Stegostoma tigrinum: one gene and its partners. The protein of the gene in region 3 purifies or fractionates together with the protein of the main gene of each other region. This does not show direct contact. Links are inferred from orthologs where the notes say so. Each region holds a gene or a part of one and is shown on either strand. Other genes may lie near its edges.

The links.
Region 1: the proteins of cav1 (region 3) and trpc1 purify together in Homo sapiens (affinity purification with western blotting; 3 studies listed by BioGRID and IntAct, with this or other methods). This does not show direct contact. The link is inferred for Stegostoma tigrinum from reciprocal best matches to the Homo sapiens genes CAV1 and TRPC1.
Region 2: the proteins of cav1 (region 3) and potassium voltage-gated channel subfamily A member 5-like purify together in Homo sapiens (affinity purification with western blotting, with the first as the bait; 3 studies listed by BioGRID). This does not show direct contact. The link is inferred for Stegostoma tigrinum from reciprocal best matches to the Homo sapiens genes CAV1 and KCNA5.

What each region holds. Positions count from the first base shown.
Region 1 is NC_081367.1:73,191,130-73,198,725, forward strand, and holds the start of trpc1 (short transient receptor potential channel 1), read right to left. Parts: upstream 4,374-7,596; 5' UTR 3,925-4,373; coding exon 3,798-3,924; intron 1-3,797. UniProt on the Homo sapiens protein: Forms a receptor-activated non-selective calcium permeant cation channel. Forms a heteromeric ion channel with TRPC4 or TRPC5 that has reduced calcium permeability compared to the homomeric TRPC4 or TRPC5 channel.
Region 2 is NC_081378.1:40,106,369-40,113,964, reverse strand, and holds the start of potassium voltage-gated channel subfamily A member 5-like, read right to left. Parts: upstream 4,498-7,596; 5' UTR 4,441-4,497; coding exon 2,980-4,440; 3' UTR 1,470-2,979; intron 1-1,469. UniProt on the Homo sapiens protein: Voltage-gated potassium channel that mediates transmembrane potassium transport in excitable membranes. Forms tetrameric potassium-selective channels through which potassium ions pass in accordance with their electrochemical gradient.
Region 3 is NC_081371.1:34,145,759-34,153,354, reverse strand, and holds the start of cav1 (caveolin-1), read right to left. Parts: upstream 5,349-7,596; 5' UTR 5,031-5,348; coding exon 5,001-5,030; intron 4,107-5,000; exon of another isoform or gene 3,866-4,106; intron 3,091-3,865; coding exon 2,926-3,090; intron 1-2,925. UniProt on the Homo sapiens protein: May act as a scaffolding protein within caveolar membranes. Forms a stable heterooligomeric complex with CAV2 that targets to lipid rafts and drives caveolae formation. Mediates the recruitment of CAVIN proteins (CAVIN1/2/3/4) to the caveolae.

The DNA of each region.
Region 1 (7,596 bases), on a different chromosome or scaffold from region 3:
ATGCGGGAGTGGAGGCAAGGAGGCATAGGTACCGGGGTTTGTAGGCTCGGGGGCGGTGAAAGATGTGCAAGGGAGGAGGGGGGGGAAGATGTGCAAGGGAGAGGGTGGAAGATGTGCAAGGGAGAGGGTGGGAGAAAGATGTGCAAGGGAGAGGGTGGGAGAAAGATGTGCAAGGGGGGGGGGAAGATGTGCAAGGGAGGGGGAAGATGTGCAAGGGAGGGGGAAGATGTGCAAGGGAGGGGGAAGATGTGCAAGGGAGGGGGGGGAAGATGTGCAAGGGGGGGGGGAAGATGTGCAAGGGGGGGGGGAAGATGTGCAAGGGGGGGGGGAAGATGTGCAAGGGGGGGGGGGAAGATGTGCAGGGGGGGGGGGAAGATGTGCAAGGGGGGGGGGAAGATGTGCAAGGGGGGGGGGAAGATGTGCAAGGGGGGGGGGAAGATGTGCAAGGGAGGGGGGGGGAAGATGTGCAAGGGGGGGAGAAAGATGTGCAAGGGAGGAGAACGGGGGGGGTGGAAGTGCGGGCGGGGAGACGTGCAGGGGAGACGTGCGGGGGAGGGGGGCAAGGAGACGTGCAGGGGAGGGGGGGGCGAGACGTGCAGGGGAGGGGGGGGCGAGACGTGCAGGGGAGGGGGGGGGCGAGACGTGCAGGGGAGGGGGGGGGCGAGACGTGCAGGGGAGGGGGGGGGCGCGAGACGTGCAGGGGAGGGGGGGGCGAGACGTGCAGGGGAGGGGGGGGGCGAGACGTGCAGGGGAGGGGGGGGGCGAGACGTGCAGGGGAGGGGGGGGGCGAGACGTGCAGGGGAGGGGGGGGGCGAGACGTGCAGGGGAGGGGGGGGCGAGACGTGCAGGGGAGGGGGGGGCGAGCGAGACGTGCAGGGGAGGGGGGGGCGAGACGTGCAGGGGAGGGGGGGGGCGAGACGTGCAGGGGAGGGGGGGGGCGAGACGTGCAGGGGAGGGGGGGGGCGAGACGTGCAGGGGAGGGGGGGGGCGAGACGTGCAGGGGAGGGGGGGGGCGAGACGTGCAGGGGAGGGGGGGGGCGAGACGTGCAGGGGAGGGGGGGGGCGAGACGTGCAGGGGAGGGGGGGGGGCGAGACGTGCAGGGGAGGGGGGGGGGCGAGACGTGCAGGAGAGGGGAGGGCGAGACGTGCAGGGGGGGGGGGCGAGACGTGCAGGGGAGGGGGGGGGCGAGACGTGCAGGGGAGGGGGGGGGCGAGACGTGCAGGGGAGGGGGGGGGCGAGACGTGCAGGGGAGGGGGGGGGCGAGACGTGCAGGGGAGGGGGGGGGGGGCGAGACGTGCAGGGGAGGGGGGGGCGAGACGTGCAGGGGAGGGGGGGGGCGAGACGTGCAGGGGAGGGGGGGGGCGAGACGTGCAGGGGAGGGGGGGGCGAGACGTGCAGGGGAGGGGGGGGGCGAGACGTGCAGGGGAGGGGGGGGGGGCGAGACGTGCAGGGGAGGGGGTGGAGTAGGGGTTGAATGAGTGCCGGGGGGTAGAGGCGTGTTGGATGAGTGCCGGGGGGTCTGGGGGGGGGGGGGTGTTGGATGAGTGCCGGGTGGTCTGGGGGGGGGGTTGTTGGATGAGTGCCGGGGGGTTGGGGGGGGGAGGTGTTGGATGAGTGCTGGGGTTGCGGAGGTGTTGGATGAGTGCTGGGGTTGCGGGGCGGTTGGATGGGGGGTGGCGGTGGGGGGGGGGGTTGGATGAGTGCTGGGGGTGGGGGGGGGGTTGGATGAGTGCTGGGGGTGGGGGGGGGGGGGGTTGGATGAGTGCCGGGTGGTTGGGGGGCGGTGTCGGAGTGCCGGGTGGTCCGGGGGGGGGGGGTGTTGAATGAGTGCCGGGGGGTTGGGGGAGGGGGTGTTGGATGAGTGCTGGGGTTGCTGGGGGGGGGGGGGGTTGAATGGGGGGTGGGGGAGGTTGGATGGGGGGTGGTGGTGTTGAGGGTGGTTGGATGAGTGCCGGGTGGTCGGGGCGGGGGGGATGTTGGATGAGTGCCGGTGGGTGGGGGGGGGTGTTGGATGAGTGCCGGCGGGTCGGGGTTGGATGAGTGCCGGGTGGTCTGGGGGAGGGGTGTTGGATGAGTGCCGTGTGGTCTGGGGGAGGGGTTGTTGGATGAGTGCCGTGTGGTCTGGGGGAGGGGGGTGTTGGATGAGTGCCGTGTGGTCTGGGGGAGGGGGGTGTTGGATGAGTGCCGGGGGGTTGGGGGGGGGGGGGTGTGAGTGCTGGGGTCTGTGGGGGGTTGGATGAGTGCTGGGGGTGTGGGGGGTTGGATGAGTGCTGGGGGTGCGGGGGGGGAGGTGGATGAGTACTGGGGTCTGTGGGGGGTTGGATGAGTGCTGGGAGGTTGGATGAGTGCTGGGGTCTGTGGGGGGTTGGATGAGGGCTGGGAGGTTGGATGAGTGCTGGGGTCTGTGGGGGGTTGGATGAGTGCTAGGGGTGCGGGGGGGTTGGATGAGTGCTGGAGGTGGGGGGGGGTTGGATGAGTGCTGGAGGTGGGGGGGGGGGTTGGATGAGTGCTGGGGTCTGTGGGGGGTTGGATGAGTGCTGGGGGGTTGGATGAGTGCTGGGAGGTTGGATGAGTGCTGGGAGGTTGGATGAGTGCTGGGGGTGTGGGGGGGGTTGGATGAGTGCTGGGGGTGCGGGGGGGGGTTGGATGAGTGCTGGGGGTGCGGGGGGGGGTTGGATGAGTGCTGGGGGTGCGGGGGGGGGGTTGGATGAGTGCTGGGGGTGCGGGGGGGGGGTTGGATGAGTGCTGGGGGGGTTGGATGAGTGCTGGGGGTGCGGGGGGGGTTGGATGAGTTCTGGGGGTGCGGGGGGGTTGGATGAGTTCTGGGGGTGCGGGGGGGGGTTGGATGAGTGCTGGGGGTGCGGGGGGGGTTGGATGAGTGCTGGGGGTGCGGGGGGGGTGTTGGATGAGTGCTGGGGGTGCGGGGGGGGTTGGAGGAGTGCTGCGGGATGGGGGCGGTTGGATGAGTGCTGCGGGATGGGGGTGTTGGATGAGTGCTGGGGGGTGGGGGGTGTTGGATGAGTGCTGGGGGTGCGGGGGGGGGTTGGATGAGTGCTGGGGGTGCAGGGGGGGGGTTGGATGAGTGCTGGGGGTGCGGGGGGGGTTGGATGAGTGCTGGGGGTGCGGGGGGGGTGTTGGATGAGTGCTGGGGGTGCGGGGGGGGTTGGAGGAGTGCTGGGGGTGCGGGGGGGGGGTTGGAGGAGTGCTGCGGGATGGGGGCGGTTGGATGAGTGCTGCGGGATGGGGGTGTTGGATGAGTGCTGGGGGTGCGGGGGGGGGGTTGGATGAGTGCTGGGGGTGCAGGGGGGGGGTTGGATGAGTGCTGGGGGTGCGGGGGGGGGGGTTGGAGGAGTGCTGGGGGATGGGGGCGGTTGGATGAGTGCTGCGGGATGGGGGTGTTGGATGAGTGCTGGGGGTGCGGGGGGGGGGTTGGATGAGTGCTGGGGGTGCAGGGGGGGGGTTGGATGAGTGCTGGGGGTGCGGGGGGGGTTGGAGGAGTGCTGGGGGTGCGGGGGGGGGGTTGGAGGAGTGCTGCGGGATGGGGGCGGTTGGATGAGTGCTGCGGGATGGGGGTGTTGGATGAGTGCTGGGTTGTGTGGGGCGTTGGATGAGTGCTGGGGGTGGGGGATGGATGAGTGCTGGGGGATGGGGGGTTGGTTGAGTGCTGGGGGATGGGGGGGGGGATGGATGAGTGCTGGGGCGTTGCGGGGGGGGGGGGGAGGTTCTGCAAAGGAGTTGGGAAGCTGCCGGTTGTTTGACAGACGAGTCGTGCCCCGTTCCCCGGGGTCGGCCTTACCTTTCTCACACGCCAGCAGGAACAGTTTCTCGTCGACGGTGGTCTCCTCCTTGACTTCCCGCACGTCCTTTAATGTCAGGTATTTGTTGGGAGACGACGACTCGGTGCTTTGGTACAGACTGGCCATGATGCTCGCCGTCCGACAACCAGCGCCGGGGGCGGTCAGCGCGAGCGGCAGAAAACCGTCCCTCCGCCCGCGCGCTCACTGTCCATCCACCGCCCCTTACCGCACGCCTTCCCGCTGCTTTGCTCCCATTCATGGGTCTTTTTGGTCTTCGATTCGTCCCCAGCCTCCGGGAGAATATGTCTCCCAGCAATACAACAGTGAAAAAAAATCCGAAAAGCAATTTATTATTTTTATTATGGGAGCCGAGAGCTGACGAGGCGGCTGTGCGCATGCGCACTACTTCGATCTCGGTGTCTTCTTTACCTCTGCCAGTTTCTGTTGGTTTTCCACAAGAATGGCGGGGGGGGGGAGACCCGACAGAAATCTAGAAAATTCTTACAGGGACTAGACACAGTAAATGCAGAAAGGATGCTCCCAGCGACCGGCGAGTCCAGAACCAGGGGTCACTGTATGAGGACGTCAGACAGCATCAGAGGAGCAGGAAAGTCTGCAGTCGCTACTGTCTCCTGGTCAGTGTAAGGGTATGGAATTGGAACATTTCCTATTGAGTTGAGGAGAATTGTCTTCACCTGGTGTGTGGTGAACCTGTGGAATTACCTGCCACAAGAAGCGGTGGAGGCCAAAATGTAGAATGTTTTCAAGGAGTGACATTGTAGATCTTAGGCTGAAATGGAGCCAAGGATATGTTGAGAAAGTGGGAAAAGAGAACTGAGTTGGAGGACCAGTCTTCATCATTGAAATAACTCCACAGAAGCCAGTACCCCGTCACCAAGTCACACTTTATTCACACGTGTACGGTACACTCTGACCAGCTAGCTCAGAGACAGTCCTCAGATTGAGGGAAATTCCTGGGACTCCTGTTTGTATCTGTTAGCCAGGACTCCCTAATTGGCCCAGGTTAACAACCCCAATCAGGGAATTCATACTCAATGAGATCCCTCTGATCAACCTCATTTCAATCACTATAATCATATTTGTTGAGTATCCAGCTTTGCTGAGGATGATAAACAATATTAAGGCATTTCAATACAAGATCTGTAATTTTATTTTAATCTAATTGTTACAAGTTGTGTGCTCCTCCTGTGAGATGTGGGATTGGGGAGAAATCAATGACAACTATGTCTGCAGATAGTGTGTCCACCTGCAGCTCCTCGCAGAGTAAATGGATCGGTTGGAGAAGTAGTTTTATAGGAAAGATTTTCAGAAATGTGGTCACACCGAAGGTTCAGGCAGCTAGATTGGTGACCCAAATAGACAGTTAGTGCACGAGTCAACTGTGGCATTCCCCTCTCAAACAAGTATATTGTTTTGGAGATAATAGAGACTGCTGATGCTGGAGTATCTGAGATAACAAGGTGTAGAGCTGGATGAACACCGCAGGCCAAGCAGCTTAAGAGGAACAGGAAGACTGATGTTTTGTGTCTGGACCCTTCTTCAGAAATATTGTTTTGGATACGTTTTGGGGAAGGGGAATGCAGGTGGTCTCTCAAGGGAAAGCAACAGCAGCAGCCAGACCAGTGGCACCATGATTGACTCTGCTGTACAACAAGGAGTGCCAAAGTGTAAGTGAGCAGAAATGATGGGATTCTATAGTCAGGGATACAGGTTGGCGTTTCTTTGGCCTTGAGTGAGACACCAATATGGTGTGTTGACTCCATGATGCCAAGGTCAAGGATGTCTCTGAGCTGCCACTGGACATTCCGGAGGGAGAAGGTGAGCAACCAGGGTCATGGTCCATATCGGTACTAAGAACATAGATTGAAAGAGAAGTGAGTTCCTGCATATTAAATTTAGGGCATTAGGTAGGAAGTTGAAAAGCAGGATCTTTAAGGTCATAATCTCAGGATTACTCCCTGTGCCACGTGCTCATGAGGCCAGAAATAAGATAATTGAGTTGATTAACTAAACAGCTGATCTTAAGGAATGGTTTCAGATAGCTGGATCATTGGTATCTCTTCCAGGTCAGGAAGAACCTGTACAAGAAGGACAGATTGCACTTAAACTGCAAGAGCACCAATAACCTTGCATGGAGGATTGCTCGTACTATGTGGGAGGGTTTAAACTAGAGTGCATTGAGGTGGGAACCAGAGCAATAGGTCAGCATGTGGAGTTACTGAGGACAAGGTATAAGTTAAATCAAATAGGAATAACAGACATAGCCAGTTTAATGTATACTGTGGGCTGACAGTATGAAGTATATTTATTTGAATGCAAGGGGACATTTGCTATTTTCCAGTCTTCTGGCATTATTCCAGTAGACAATGACGACATCAAGATCAAAGCCAAAGGCTCTGCAATCGCCTCCCTAGTTTCCCAGAGAATCCTAGGATAAATCCTAGGATTTATAAATCCAGCCAGAGGACTTTCGTATGTTCACACTTTCCAGAATTGCTAAAACCTCCTCCTAATGAACCTCAATTCCATCTAGTCGAATATCCTGTATCTCAGTATTCTCCTCGACAACATTGTCTTTTTCCTGTGTGAATACTGGTGAAAGATATTCATTTAGCGCCTTTCGTATCTCTTCTGACTCCATGCACAACTTCCCACTACTGTCCTTGACTGGCCCTAATCTTACTCTAATCATTCTTTTATTCGCGACATACCTATAGAAAGCTTTAGGGTTTTCTTTGATCCTACCTGCCAAAGACTTCTCATGTCCCCTCCTGGATCTTCTTAGCTCTCTCTTTAAGTCCTTGCTAGCTAACTTGTAACCCTCAAGCGCCCCAACTGATCCTTCACGTCTCATCTTTACATAAGCCTCCTTCTTCCACTTGACAAGAGTAAACCATGGTTCCCTTGCTCGACCACTTCCTTCCTGCCTGACATTTTATTTTATGTACCTGACAGGTACATACTTATCAAGGACACGCAGTAGCTGTTCCTTGAACAAGCTCCACATTTCAATTGTGCCCAGCCCCTGCAGTTTCCTTCCCCATCCTATGCATCCTAAATCTTGTCTAATCGCCTCATAATTATCTTGCCCCCAGCAATAACTCTTGCCCTGCAGTATATACCTCTCCCTTTCCATCGCTAAAGTAAATGTGGCGATAATTGTGGTCACTATCACCAAAGTGCTCACGTACCTCCAAATCTAACACCTGGCCTGGTTCATTACCCAGTACCAAATCCAATGTGGCCTCGCCTCTTGTTTCCCTGTCTACATACTGTGTCAGGAAACCATTCTGCACACATTGGACAAAAACTGACCCATCTAAAATACTCGAATTATAGCATTTCCAGTCAATATTTGGAAAGTTAAAGTCACCCATAACAACTACCCTGTTACTTTCGCTCCTATCCAGAATCATCTGAGCAATCCTTTCCACTACATCTCTGGAACTTTTCGGAGGCCTATAGAAAACTCCCAACAGGGTGACCTCTCCTTTCTTGTTTCTAACCTCAACCCATACTACCTCAGTAGACGAGTCCTCATAAAACATCCTTTCTGCCACCATAATTCTGTCCTTGACTACAAATGCTACACCCCCCCCCCCCCCGACTTTTACCACCTTCCCTGATCTTACTGAAACACCTAAACCCCGGAACCTGCAACAACCATTCCTGTCCTGCTCTATCCATGTCTTCGAAATGGCCACAACATCAAAGTCCTAGGTACCAACCCATGACAAGTTCACCCTCCTTATGCTAGATGCTCATGGCTTCAAACCA
Region 2 (7,596 bases), on a different chromosome or scaffold from region 3:
TACCATCTAGTCCTACAGATTACTAACATTTGATTTGCTTAAAGAAAGGTGCCGTAATAAAATTGAATATTATTTGTATAACTCTGCTACGAATTAAAGTTTAGTTCAGTGAATAAGACATGACAATTGTCCACACTACTCAGTACACAAAATATAATTTCATATGTTCTGTCAATAACATTTTCAACAAATACTCACAAATAATTAAACACAAAAGAGCTCAGCACTTCATTAATGAAAAGTACAATCTTTAAACATGTATGTGCATAAGAAATAAATAGAAACAACATCAAACAAAATACGATGACAATCAGGACTGTTTTCTTCTTGGCCACTAAGCACATGCAACATTAAAATGTAAAAGGAAGATTTCCTTTGGTTAGTATTCCTAGCAAAATTAAAATCATGTTATTTGAGAATGTATTCATGTTTTCACGAGAAATGGTGATCAGAAGAAATCTTCCTGCTGTGGGTATGATGTCGCAATCACCCAGCAACACAGAAAATCTTAAGTCTGTAATGTTGAAACAGTCAGCCATCTGAATTCATTTGATCTCTGAACATGCCGACATATGTACACTGTCAAATGGTAAAATGCTGTAAACAGCAGTTATAAACTATTGTTCTAAACAGATTTCCTGCAAACCAAATTAAATTTATGTTAAGAACCCATGGAGTGTATAAGATGGCAATATCAAGGAAAGACCCATAAATCATGAACCAAAACACCCTTTTCCATTTATCTTTTAAGAATAAAAAGAGTGGCACTGATGCTGGTGATTCTCAATTCAGCTGTTTTGAAATTGGAAATCTATTTTTGTTAAATAAGGCAGGACATTATATCTAATGGTGTGGTCTCCCCCAGGTGGTTGCACAATCCATATCAGATATGTGGTTGTAAAACAGTCTCAGATTTCTTTTGAAAATTATCTATGAAACAAGATAGTGCTAATTAATGTTCAAGTAATTTTGTAAACTTTCTGTATATGTAAGGCAGAAGAAAACTTCAAATGTAAATATCAGAATCAGAGATCGTAAGTATTTACAAAGTTCTTGCTAACATTATGTAATTAACATCTGAAATTAACATAAAAGGCTCAAGTCTCAAGGTATGGATTGCTCATCAGCAGAGGGCTACCTGCCAATCAAAGTAATGTCATTCAGCAAAGCAGATAATACACTAATAAGCTCACAGTGAAATCATTATGGTAGCTCTTTGTTGATACTTTTCACAAAGCCAGTAATTATCTGTGCATTTAATAGCAAAACAGCTGCATTAGAATGAAAGATCTTGTATTTTTTAAATGAATGTAGATAGTACTTTGATAATTTCACAATGTCCTGTAACTCAATTTTTTTATGTTTAAAAGGGTTACAAATGAAAGAAATGGTACCCTTTTTAAAATCTTCATTTTTTGTTTACTTTTTAAGCAAAGCAAAGTTTTAAAAAGAAATGGTAAAACACTAACCTTCGATCATGTGCCTGCAGCAGTGAGCCACTCACAAGAGACAGGTGTTTTGTCCATTTGAAGACATGGGTGTTCTGAATATCGGTTCAGAATCTGGTAAAAATCCTTCCACATCACAAGATTTGTTTCAAATTGTTATAGCTTTGCGATAGTTATAAGGCAGTCCCTAACATATAATGTTGTCCAAAGTTCACTTCCTCTAAACATTTTCAAAAGATAAAAGACGAGTCATAGCAAATATCAAATCCAGAATGATTTGTCATCATCTAAAATGTGTTTCCAGTTCAAAAAAATGTGTTGGTTATCTTTTGTTGTTTCATCACTCTGTGGTATCAACTTTTATTACTTCACAGTTCATGTGTTAAACTTCAGGTACTTAATCCCAATCTTCGTCTGTTCTTAGAGAACCCAGTTTTGCAGATTTACTGTTCAGAATAAATATGCAGATTTTAAAATAGTTATTTTACAACATTAGTATAAATCAATGCATTCACTTAGGTCATTACAAATATGATCAAGTGGATCCTCTAGCGAATTCCTTTGGATTTTTGTTTACATGAGATCATTTGCAACACATTAAGTGGATGTACAATAAGCTTTGACAGCTCTACCAGCAAAGAGAGAGTCTAGTGCTTCTCCAAACATGGAAAATCAGTACAAAAAGCTGAAGTTGCTGATTTAAGTCCCCATAAATATTAAATAAACAAGGAATGCTCCAATTATCTAAATATACTGTTCAGTAATTCTCGTATGATCTGTTCGAATTTTGTCGCATGAACACTTTGAAAAAATATATTGCGAACAGAGAAGTCCCACATTGCCTAAATACAAATACGACTTTTGTCTTCCTTAAGACTCCAAGCAAACTGAATTTCCTCTCTCTCTGACGGTAGCTACATTGTAAATAAAACAAACACTGTTGCGAACTCTCATCACGACAGGCTTTGATGCGTTTGAATACATTTCCGCCTCCCACTCCTACCGCTTAATTTTATGTATATAAATATATAAATATATATGACACAAAACATGAGCAAAGTATTGCAGGAAACAAAGGGTTGGATAGTCCATGACCTTTCTTCCTCACAGGAAAACTGAGCTACTTCACACCTGCCTCAATTACAAATTCAAAAATAAACTTATGGAATTTTAAGACTTTACATTTGTTTCCAATTAATGAAAGCAAAACAAATACAAGACGGAGGCTGGAGCTGTGCACAAGTTCCAGCTGTCCTATTGTGCACCTGCAGAAAACCGGTGTCTCATCAACAACCCCAAACCCCTCCAACAGCCCACGCCCCAAAAAAATTAAGAACCAGCGCCAAAGTGTTTAGCTAAACCCCTTGGAATGTATCTGACGGTCTGATAAAGAATGATGTATAAAATTGATATTTTCTTCTCGCCTAACTAATCTAACCTGTGTGGTTTGTACAAATGCTGAGTGGTTTTTTTTTTCAGTTTGTCAACCCCAAACAAGTCTGGAGAGTTGTCATGTGGAAAGTGGCCGGGGCTACAGGTCGGTCTCTGTATTTGGATCCAGACATAGTGCGTACAGCGATTTCCTGATGTCGGGGGCACTGTTGGCCTTCAGGTGAGCCCCCGCGCCATTGTTCACCCCCTCACTGTTCTCCAAGGGTTTGCCCAGGGAGCTCCTGCTCCTCTTCAGTTCCTCTGAGTGACTGGGCTCGCTGTCCGTGTCGTCCTTCAGGTACTGAGCCTGCTCCTCGTTGTCCGTCTCCCGGTGATAGAAGTAGTTGAAGTTGGAGACGATGACGGGCACGGGCAGGGCGATGGTCAGGACGCCGGCGATGGCGCACAACGACCCCACGATCTTGCCGCCCATGGTGACCGGCTTCATGTCCCCATAGCCCACCGTGGTCATGGTGACCACCGCCCACCAGAAGGCATCGGGGATGCTGGAGAAGTGGGAGCGCGGCTCGTCCGCCTCGGCGAAGTAGACGGCGCTGGAGAAGAGGATGACCCCGATGAAGAGGAAGAAGATGAGCAGGCCCAGCTCCCTCATGCTGGCCTTGAGGGTTTGGCCCAGGATCTGGAGACCCTTGGAGTGGCGGGAGAGCTTGAAGATGCGGAAGACCCGCACCAGGCGGATGACCCTGAGGATGGCCAGGGACATGGCCTGCTGACCATTGGTCTGCTGCTCGGCCAGCTCAGTGCCCAGGGTGATGAAGTACGGGATGATGGCCACAATGTCGATGATGTTCATGATGTCCCGGGCGAAGACCGACTTGCTGGGGCAGGCCAGGAAGCGGACCAGCAGCTCCAGGGTGAACCAGACCACGCAGGTGGTCTCGATGATGAAGAAGGGGTCACTGAGGCTACTGTTGTCCCCAGTCCCGGGGCTCTGGGCGCTGGTGTTGAGCGGAGAGTTGCTGGCACTGTCGCGGTCATCGCGGAACTCGGGTAAGGTTTCCAGGCAGAAGATGATGATGGAGATGACAATGACCAGCACCGAGACAATGGCGATACCCCGGGCAGGGCTGGAACTCTCCGGGTACTCGAAAAGGAGCCACATCTGCTTCTGGAACTCATTGCGAGGCAAAGGCTTCTCCTCTTCCTTGATGAAGCCCTCATCCTCACGGAACCTCTCCATGGCCTCGGGTCCCAGCTTGTAGAAGCGGATCTCGTCGGCGAACATGTCGATGGAGACATTGACGGGTCTGCGGATCCTGCCGCCCGACTGGTAGAAGTACAGGATGCCGTCGAAGCACGGCCGGTTGCGGTCGAAGAAATACTCGTTCTTCAGCGGGTCGAAGTACCTGATTCTTTTCTCGGGGTCTCCAAGTAGGCTGTCCGGGAACTGGCTCAAGGTGCTCAGCTGGGTCTCGTACCGGAGCCCGGCGATGTTGATCACCACCCGCTCCGAGCGGTTGACTTCCAGCAGTTGCTGCTGTTGCAGGTTGTCCACCGGCGGCGCCTGGTCCACGGCTTTCAGCGGCCCCGCCGCGTTCATCTCGCCCGGAGCCGGGGGGTCCAGGTAGCCCTTGGCCGCCGGGCCAGCAGCGCTCACACCCAGGGGCGCTAAGATTCCGCCTCCTCCTCCTCCTCCTCCTCCACCAGCACCACCTCCACCTCTCTGGCAGCTCCCCAGAGCGGCGCCACCGTCCTGCAACCTCACCAGAGCTATGTCCATCCCCGAGCCATTAAATATTCAACACATTCCACATCTAGCGAGAACTGATCAGTCAGCGGAGCGCTGGGAGACACACACACACACACACACACACACAAAGAGACAGAGACAGAGATCAACAGTCCCCACCCCAGAGCAAGGCACAGAGATACATCAAGGCATTGGATACAGCAGCGGAACCCGGATGAGCAACAAATAAATCATGATTGCAGCTCTCTCTCCCTCTGACGTCGAATGCCTGAAAATGAGCAGCAGAATTTATCACCCACCGCTCTGACCCCCCCACCCCGACCCTGGGCGCTGCTGCCTCAGACTTAACCCCTCCACTAAGCCCAGTCCACACTCCTGTACCTCCCCGCCCCGGTCCCTTCCCGTTCCCAGATACAAGCCCGATCGCCAACCACAATCATTTAAACATCAACCCTTCTCTCACTTTTAAACGATTTCACTATACAAACAGGTAGAATGTTAAACGACTGTTTTTTAAAGAGAAAGGAACCAACATTTGAATGTTATTTTATTTACCCTATGTGGTGATTCAAGTGCTTTGTACAGTTGGGTCAGGGAGGTTTTGTGGCGTGGTGAGTGCTGTCTTTTGAGTCAGGAGCTTGGGTTCAAGTCCCACTCCAGGACATGGTCAGTTTCAAAAATACAGGTCTCTTTACGGGTCTACCAGAACCGTTCCGGAATTAAGAGCTGGGTTCTGGTCCGCTGGGTGGTTGACCTCGGGTCACGGAGTTTGTCCAGAATGGAAAGGTGAAAACTGGTGTTTGTGGATTTATCATAAATTTCTGAACACATTTTGCCATCTAGTTCAACATATGAATGTAGGTCTGTTGAATAACTTGATGGGCAGTGAAGGTGTCACGGCTAACCAGGCTGTTTATCACTTTCTGGTAGCCTATGGCAGTGGTGAGAGAGCCTCTTGGGTCAGCCATGTTTCATGTCCGGTTCCTCCATCTATAGCCTCCAGTGAGAGGTTAACCACAGAATCATGTGTAAGCACATTTACTTTTTCTGCCTCATCTCACCTAAGCATATGAGGAGGCAGGTGGGACTAGCTTAGTTTGGGATTATGTTCAGCGTGGACTGGTCGGACTGAAACGTTTGTGCTGTACAGCTGCATGACTCAATGACATAGTGATGATTTAATTCGGTCAGCGATTGAGAGAGCAGATGGACTTAACTGTATGGTGCTGTTTCTTTCTGGAACATATGGGTGTGATCCAGTGGTAAATAAATTGATAGCCGTCAAACTAAAACTAATGCAAAGTAATCATGATCCCAACTGATTGATGCCCTCCCCATGAGTGTGACAGCTTGCACAGTGCACAATCTGTAAGGCATCACATTTATGCTGAGGCATGGTTTTGCTTCAGGTTTTGAAAGCAAATTCCTGCTTAGATCTCTTCCTAAGCAAAGATTCTTCAAATAGAGGCTGAACACGAATCACCTCATGAGTTTTAGGAATGCAAACTATGAAATTTTAAGAATATTTGACCAGAAAGGGTGCATAATTTAATAGTTCATAAAATAACACACTAACATAACTGAAACTAGTTTCCAGGAGATTGAAAACTAATATATGCCACCACCACTTAAAATGCTGAACGGCATGAGGACTATTCATGCTAATAAATTGTATGTACTAAAAATTGAACAATCGATTCATAAAATCATGCTCTCAGAAAAGACCCTCAGCACTACAAAGTCAAGTATATTTTTGTGTTTTTTTTAAGGCTCACTTCTTATTCCTATCTGCATGTAAGCATATTACTTTATTGATTCTTTTCACATCAAGTAACCAATAATATCACTCATTTGTTCACTCAAGAAAGAAGTTCAAATTGCCCCTTTTAAAACATTAATTTGGTCTGCGAGAAAGGATTCCACACAGAGGAATCCTGTCTAAAATAACTTTGTTGCAACCAACTGAGAAGATAGATAAATAAAGACAGGGAGCGAGTTCATCCTATCTCTCTTGGCAGCTTAATGATTTTGGGTATCCATCCAGAACCGTAATAACTTTGGAGAACCTCACCTCCAGATTGGTTGTAGAAGTTATGCAAAATCCAAACTCTGGCATTGATTTGGTATCCAACAGGAGTTTGGGAGGAGATGGTGGCTGTAGTGCGAGAATATTTGCAGCCTACACCAATCTGTTGCTCCACATCCCAGTAAATATATGAATCGCATTGAGGGCATGTCTTTTTCTAAATGCCTTTTCCAAAAGGTTTGGAATAGCTACTGACATTGAACTTGAGCAGACTATGGTACTTCCTATGTAGATTTGTGTACACAAACTGTAACGAGAAGGTGGGTGAATTTGGAACGGGAGCCAGTTCATCCTTCTTCATGTGGGGAGTTTAGCAGATTGGAGTATCCCAACTGGAAATGAAATGAATTAGGGAATTTTGCCCAATGTCTGCTTGTCAGAGAGGTAGCTATAATAGACCACCTGCCAGTACTGATTGAAGTAATTCTGCACACTGAATGGGGTATAAGTAGTTAATGCGAGTTCTTGCAAGTGAGTAATTTTTGAAGATTAAGGATTAAGCACAAGGTAGGGTTTGGCAGATCTTGAATTTACAGCAAATGTGTCACGTGTTTCTCATGTTATTCAAGTAATGCAAAACACTAATAATGTAGAATAGGCCTCAGCATAACATGCCATATGTCCTTTTGGATGCTTCTGACTGTCAGACTGCTTCTGACTGTCCAGTCAACTGTTAATGCCACATGTCTGTTCAACTGAATGTTAAAACGTCATGAGACACTTTTCTAAGAGCAGCAAATTTCTAGTATCCTCTCTGAACTAATTCCTCAATGAATCGATCATTTGATTCATTGCTGTTGCTTGAACATTGCTTTCATAAGATAACTGGTGCTGTCATTTTTATAACAACAGCATGTTTGAAAATTAATAAAGACTGATAACTTGTGTTTCTTTAAAAAAATCGCATTTAATTGAAAATA
Region 3 (7,596 bases):
ATGCTAAAGTTGTAACACTGTATAAGATTCTGGAATAGACCTAGTATGAAAAGCATCACTTATCTGGTTAGATTACGTCAATATCCATATCTGTATACTTTTGCAACCTATCAATTTATGTGTGTGTATATATATATCTCATGTCTGACAAAAGAGCTAAAACATGCCAGTGACAAGAGTGTGATGACATCGTCCAAGTTTCTGGCCTACGCTACTGCTTTAATGTTTAATGTTCAAGAGCCGAGACTGTCTTTGTTAAGGTTTGGCTACATATACGACACAAGCAAACACAAGTGATAATGTATACATGTGGTTCCTTCTACAATTCTATAACAGATGTTTTGAAAACTTTTAACAAATAAGATTATGTCTTAAAAAACTGTTTAAAACATAAAAATGCAATCGTCATACAGTTGAATATTTATGGCTTTTGTTTAAGACCGTTGCATTTAAAATGAAAGCTACATCTTTGAATGCTTAAAACTGCCTTTCCATTGATTAATGCAATAGTTACAGGTAACAATGTGCGAAAGAATTGCTTTGCTGTGCTCTGCTATCAATTTAATTATCCTGTAGTAAGGCTTAATTTAAATATTGTGTTACTACACTGTGTTATTATACAGGTTTCACATGTGGACTTCCCACATGTTAGATACCATAGTGGTTGGAATTTGAGTGCTACACATAATTTGCCTTACAGAATATTCATTTGAAAGAATGGCAAAGAGCCTATCAAAGTACTAACATCATTGTCAGGCTTTCCATGGTTAAAGCTAAAAATGGTGTCACCATCATTATTGGGGAGCAAGGCTCCAGTTTCAAAATTGTTTTCCACAGTGGTAGAAATGTACTGCACTATGAACTTTAACAATACTGTATTTATGCTTTTTTTTTGTTAAAATGTAAAATAAATTTATAATGGGTGAAATAATAACACTGTCTCATTACATCATTGCACACATTCACAACTGTGGTCTTGGTTTGGATTTCATCAATGCAATAATGATCCTTTAATTAAAACTAATATTGGACTTCAAACATAGTCAGCAATACTAAATATTTCAATTGCATACATGATCATTTGCATAAGTTTTCTTTTGAATGTTGAGTTTAAACTTCTGGGTGTCAAATATACTTGTTATCAATAAGAGAGCATCTGATAATTTAAAATGCACAAGCTGCATGAAAAATGTTACCAAACCTGTTTTTTTTCTGTTTTCCTTTAATCACATCAACATGTCACTTTTATGCGAGGGAACAATGACAAATACAAAAGAAGTTCCAGTTATTCTTTTCTCTGGTTATTTTTATCTGTTTTATGTGATCGTTACCTCATCCATCCAACATCAGACTGAAATTGGTAAATAAGCTAATTTGGTTTGCTGGATTCTTTTGATAATATGTACATATGAATTAGTAAGAGTTTGGCAGGTAGTCAGTTTCTATAAAAGTTTTTGACTGTGTGGAATGAACTAATTGTTGAATGCAGCAGGTTGAAGGCTGGGTGCTGGGTAACTCCACACAGTGCTGGATACAGTGAGCTTGGCTTGATGCTGGGTACAGTGAGCATAATGTAGTGGGCTGGAGGATGGATGCATGGGACTTTGTGCTGGGTACAGTGACCACAGTGCACCAGACTGGTGGATGGGTGCATCTACACAGGACATAGAACACAGTACAGTACAGTTCAATTACAGGCCCTTTGGCCCACCATGTCTGTGCTGACCATGGTGCCATTCTAAATTAATCCTGTCTACCTGCATAAGGTCCATATTCCTCTATTCCCTGCCTGTTCATGCATCTGTCTAAATGCCTCTTAAACATTGCCATATTATCTGCTTCTACCACCTCATCTGACACCCTCTGCATAAAAACTTTCCTTGCACGTCTCCTTTAAATTCCCCCTGTCCATCTTAAACATATGCTCCTTAGATTTTGAAATTTCCATCCTGGGAAAAAAAACTCCAACTATTCACCCTAGCCATGTCTGTCTTAATTTTACTGGCAGAGGGATGGATGCAATGAACAATGTAAGTGGTGGGGATTAGCACAATGGGCACAGAGCAGTATACAGAGGAATGGGGTCAGTGGACTTCATGTTGGATGCAGTGAGCAGTGGTGGAGCTCAGGGCACAGAGCAGTGGGCTGGGAACAGCAGACTCAGAACAATGAAGTGGGAAATGGACAGTGAGCTGGGGGATGGGGGTAGTGGACACAATGCAGTGAGTTGGAGGATGGGTGGAGTGGACAGTTGAGTCACTTGAGTAGGTAAAGATCAGCGGGCGGGGGATAGGTTCAGTGGACCGGCTTGAAATGTTACAGAGTAATCGGGTGCAGTGGGTACACAGCAGTGGCCTGGGGAAGGTGGGTGATGTGGACTGGGGTGTGGGTTGAGTGGTTACAGAGCAGTGGGTTGGGTGATGAGTGCAGCGGGGTATGGTGTTGCTTGCAGGGTGCAGTTTTGATAAATGCCTTTTATGCACTCAGTATAATCCACACGGTCCTTTCAACACACCGGGAGGACCCTGCACTTTTCACGCTGTTTACAAGTTCCGGTCTGTCGCTGAAATCTCAGGCTATTTCACAGATGAATCATCTCTCGGCCAATTCCATGTTTTTTGTGATAGCTTTCAACAGCAATCCATCCCTGGTGTCTATCAAACACATCAGTAGCTCAACATCAATTCATATCCTCCCTGGGGGTCGAAAATTCGATGCTTCACGGGGAGACACGACTCCCAGAGAAACTGGAAAAATTATAATTGGTAGCAGGGGTTCGTCAATAGGACTGCGAGCAGTTGGAATCGTACTGGGTAATAACCTTGTCCCTGCAAACCTGTTACCTCTGACTACCTTCTATACAAACATTTAACTTTAATTCCTGTATTATTCCCAACTTTAACAAAGTTCGTCTCTCTTCCTTACCTTAACCACATCTTCGTTCAGATGTTTTGGATCTCTGTTGATTAAATCGATCTCTTTGGTGTGAACATCTGTCACGTATTTCTCGTTCAACTTCTCATCTTCCATTTTATTATTGGGTTTGTAAATGTTCCCGTGGTCTCTGATCGGCGACGGGTATAAAAGTCCCTGGGAAGGGTTACAACAATTCCTTGTTTAAGCTGACTTTGAGTTGTTCCAACATAAAACTCGGAAGGTAGTCGCTGCTTGATGCTTAAGAGGAACTTTGTGGAGCCTGATCGTATTTAAGTGGAAAAGTAAAGCGGCACCACACCCCTGTAAACCGGAGCTGGCGGCAGCAAAACCATTTCCATCTGGCAGCAGGGGGCAGCACGGGGGCTCGCCTGGATACAGTGAGTCACTACAGTACTGACCCACTGGGAAATCTCCCTCACTGCCAGGGATACAAGTGAGTCATTCCAGTTATACACCCTCTGGGAGATCACTCCAACTTAGGGATAAAAGGGAGTCATTCCAGTAATGCACCCCCTCAAATGTCTTCCAACTGAGGGATAAAGTGACACACTGCAGTACTGCACCATCTAGGAAATCTCTCCAATTTAGGGATGTAGTGAGTCTCTAGCAATGCATTCACTGGGATTTTGTTTTTATTCAGGAATGCAGTGAATCAGTCCAGCACTGCATCTCACTGGGAAATCTCTCGTTGCGGGCTATAGTGAATCACTGCAGCTCTGGAAAATCTCGCACCAGGGACACCATCATCCAGGCTACCTCTTGCCCGTTTTGTTGGGACATCATCTTGTAAGACTTCGAGTCCAGAAACCGCTCTCTAACTGAACACGGCGTCGAATTCTCCTACAGCCGGCCTTCCCACCCTCTCTCTCTCCCTCCCCATCCCCTTTGGGCAATGCACAACTGCTCGAAGAGGTACCGAATTCAATACCTGTATACGAACATCCACCAGCCTCTGATTCCCTTCCTCCGAAAGTTCTGTTCTGTTTTGTTTTGCAGAACAAATGCAGGATTAATAAATCCAGCAGTTTGAGAACTGAGTCACCGCGGAGATCAGTCCCTTTAACAGGAAAGGGATTGTTTGGGGAGCTTCCTTAAGACCCGAGTGTCAGTACGAAGTTAACGTGTCGGACAGAATAGCGGGTTCAATCCCCGCACTGACTGTGGTACCTAATCGAGAACTGGTTCCTCGCCTTGGTCTGTGTAGAGTGGCGCCCTTTAAACTGTACTCGTCTTCTGAAACAGAGAGAGAGACCGCTGCCTATGTCCTCTCATGGGCTTCAGTTCTCCTGTGAATCCCTCATTTTAATGAAGGATCCTACAGGTTAAATCCTATCGAACTGACACCATCCATAAGTTACCTCTTGTCAATTGCCACTTTTGCATGGTTACAAGAATATCGATGAACGCCAGAGGAACAGAAAATGCTGGAGGGATTTGGTAGGTTCAAGTTGGGGAGACGGCATGGCAGACGCACAATAAGGATTCTGCGATTTAGGAATGAGTACAATGAAGCTTGCCGCCCCCCGAGAGCTTTGAATGCTCAGTCCTTGGGTATAAACCACCAGGGACTGATCTAATTCTGGAGGCAGATGGCTGAAGGGATAAGATTGGAATATGGATTTACCTCCTCATACTGGCGAGACAGGCACAAACAGCCGAATAGCCTGTTCCTGACAATTCTGAGGAGCATAGACCATCGCCATATGTTGTCCTGTCTCCCCAGATCACAAGACATTTTTTATATTCCACTGATTTACAAGTCTGAATAACAATCTAACGTGTATAATTGACTTCTTTTAAGAAAAAAAGCCTCGTGTATTTTCTAGCTTCTTTTATGGCCAAGTATTTTTGTTTCAAAGTCACGATAGGTTCAGTTATTTTGCAGTGTGCGTTCACAATCAACAGGCAACCTTGCCTACGCTCTTCACAATGAAAAACCGGTACAGCAACACCCCCCCCCCCCCCAAATATTGTTACTATCTTGCATCAGATCATTATTATTGTCCCGTTCCTCAGCTGTGGTCTCATTTAGTTGTAATAAGGCGGGCGCGACTCTTCCTTACCTCAAAATCCCCGGTTTTGTCACCAGACATAGCTTCCCAAACTGGAGGATTTCAGCAAATCTGCTGCAGCTCTCTATTACTATTACCCTGCGGAAGGAAGATAGTAACGTGAAAGTAGGTAGTGATCGCTGGTCCTTGTGGCAGACCGCCAGTTCCTCTGGGCTGTAAAGGGAGCTCTGACTTGAAGAGCTGCCGCTTTTCAGTGCACAGAACGCCAAGTTCCCAGCTACAGCGGAAAATAGGGAATGCATACATGACTTCGCAGTGAATCATAGCGAGCAGCAAGGCTTGGGCAAGACCCGCTGTGGGAGGCAAGAGGCGAACATCGACAAGCCAGCGAGAGGGAGAGAATGTGTGAGAGGAGATCGAGTGTTAATGCACGGATGCAGGGCATTCTTGTGCTGGCATAGGAAGGGCGAGACAAACTCCGGCAAATTAGTGACGAAAGTTCAACTGATACTTGCATTGTAATGGGAAAATGTTTTCCAAACAGGGTAACAGTGCAGTGAAGTCTGTTTCTTAGGAAGGGAAGCAAAGTGTCGGACATGGGGACAATGAGATGCTGCTTGGCCTGCTGTGTTCATCCAGCCTCACATTTTATTATCTTGGAAATTTGCTCGAGTTACTTGCGAGATTTATCATAGAATCCCTCTGGTGTGGAAATAGGCCCTTCGGCCCAACAAGTTCAGAGCATCCCACACAGACCCATCCCCCTATAAACCCACCTATCTACACACCGCTGAACACTATGGGCAATTTAGTGTGGCCAATCCACCTGGCCTGCACATCTTTGGACTGTGGGCGGAAACCGGAGCACCCGGAGAGAGCCACACAGTCACCGGAGGAGGGGAAATCGAACCCGGGTTCCTGGCGCTGCGAGGCAGCAGTATTAATCACCGAAATACCGCGCCGGTGTTTCGAAAAGAGGAAATCCAGCAAACTTCATAGGGATTTAACTACTGTTAACAATAGGAATCCGTCTATGGATATGCACTCATGTGGCAAAGACCGGGGGCCAAACTAAACTTCACACGGCTATTTGCCTTGAACTACAGTATAAAGGTCCCACAGTATTCTTTTTCGAGAAAGAGACAACTGGCGATGGGTTACCACGCCTTAGACAAGGGAAAATGTTGAGTAGGAGAGTCCCTCATGGTAACCTCAACCAGCATGGGAACTGAATCCATGCTGTTGGTGTTACTCTGCCTCACAAACCAGCCTCTGGCCAACTGAGCTAGCTAACCTGCAACCATTCTTGTCCATGTAATCCAGTTCTCCCAGGAGCATACATCTAACATCTTCCACTTTCTCAGATTTTTGGCGTGGTGGCTTAGTGATTAGCACTGCTGCCTCACAGCACCCGGTGCCCGGCTTCAATTCCAGCCTTGGGTAACTGTGTGGAGTGACACATTCTCCCCATGTTTGTGCCAGGTGCTCCAGTTACCTCCCAAGTTCCAAATATGTGCAAGTTAGCTGGTTTGGCCATGCTAAATTGTCTGGTAGTGTCCAGGAGTGTGCAGGCTAGGTGGATTAGCCATGGTTAATTTGGGGTTGCAGGGTCACAAGATTAGGGTGGGGTGCTGTACTGAGTGTCAGTGCGGGCTGGATGGGCTGAATGGATTCCATCTGCACTGTAGAGATTCTATGATCTAGGGATGGGTGTCCAAAATCAGCAGTCTTTGATACATTGGGAAAACAACATCTCCCTTCAATAGTGGTCCCAGGTACCATCATCTATAAACATGGGAACATGGTCCTGTGAAACATTCATTGCTATTAAAAGACTGCATCTCCAAAATCTAAGCTTTATTTCTTCCAACTAAATATTGGTAAGACTGCAGCTATTTTCTTTATGACATCCCATTCCAAGATCAAATGCAGTGATTCCATCATTCAAACAGCTCCAGCCACTGGAAGCAGCTGTTTGCACCTGTGGGTATGTTCTATTGAACCTGATTTTCATTCCCTCCATTATAATCATCACTTCCTCCCACCTCCAATACATTCTTGCCTTTGGACATTTACTGGTCAAACCTTCATCAAAGCCTTTGCACCCTTTGGATCCTGTGGTATTCCCTGTTGAACAATCCTGGTATCTGCTACTTCTGCCAGTATGTGGTACTGGGTAAGAGTTGTTTGATAGTTCACTGACAGATATACCATTCCCCTTTGTCTTTGTTTTGTATTCAGTCTGTCTAGTTATAAATGGTTGAGGATCCACCACTATAGGTTATCTAAAACAGAGATCTATTTTTAAATAACAGGAAGGTTTACTGCATTATCGTACAAAGTGCAACTGTTTTTTGCCATGTATAATTATTAAGACCTTAGTGATCTGATAGAGATGTATCTGGTCCCTCCAAAAGCTAGAATAATGTACAAGGTGTGTGTATGACAGCTGTAGAATAGTGGAGTCAATGTAACATTAACTCTTTCAGAGCCATTACCTTTATACAACAGATCCAACAATTCTAATGTTCCTTTGGCCAGTTATCCATCATCTGCTATTTGCAAACTTCAGCGCATTCAAATTTCTGATGCTCACATCCTATCCCATGCCAAAGCCCATTCTAATTAAATTACATCAGTTACCTGT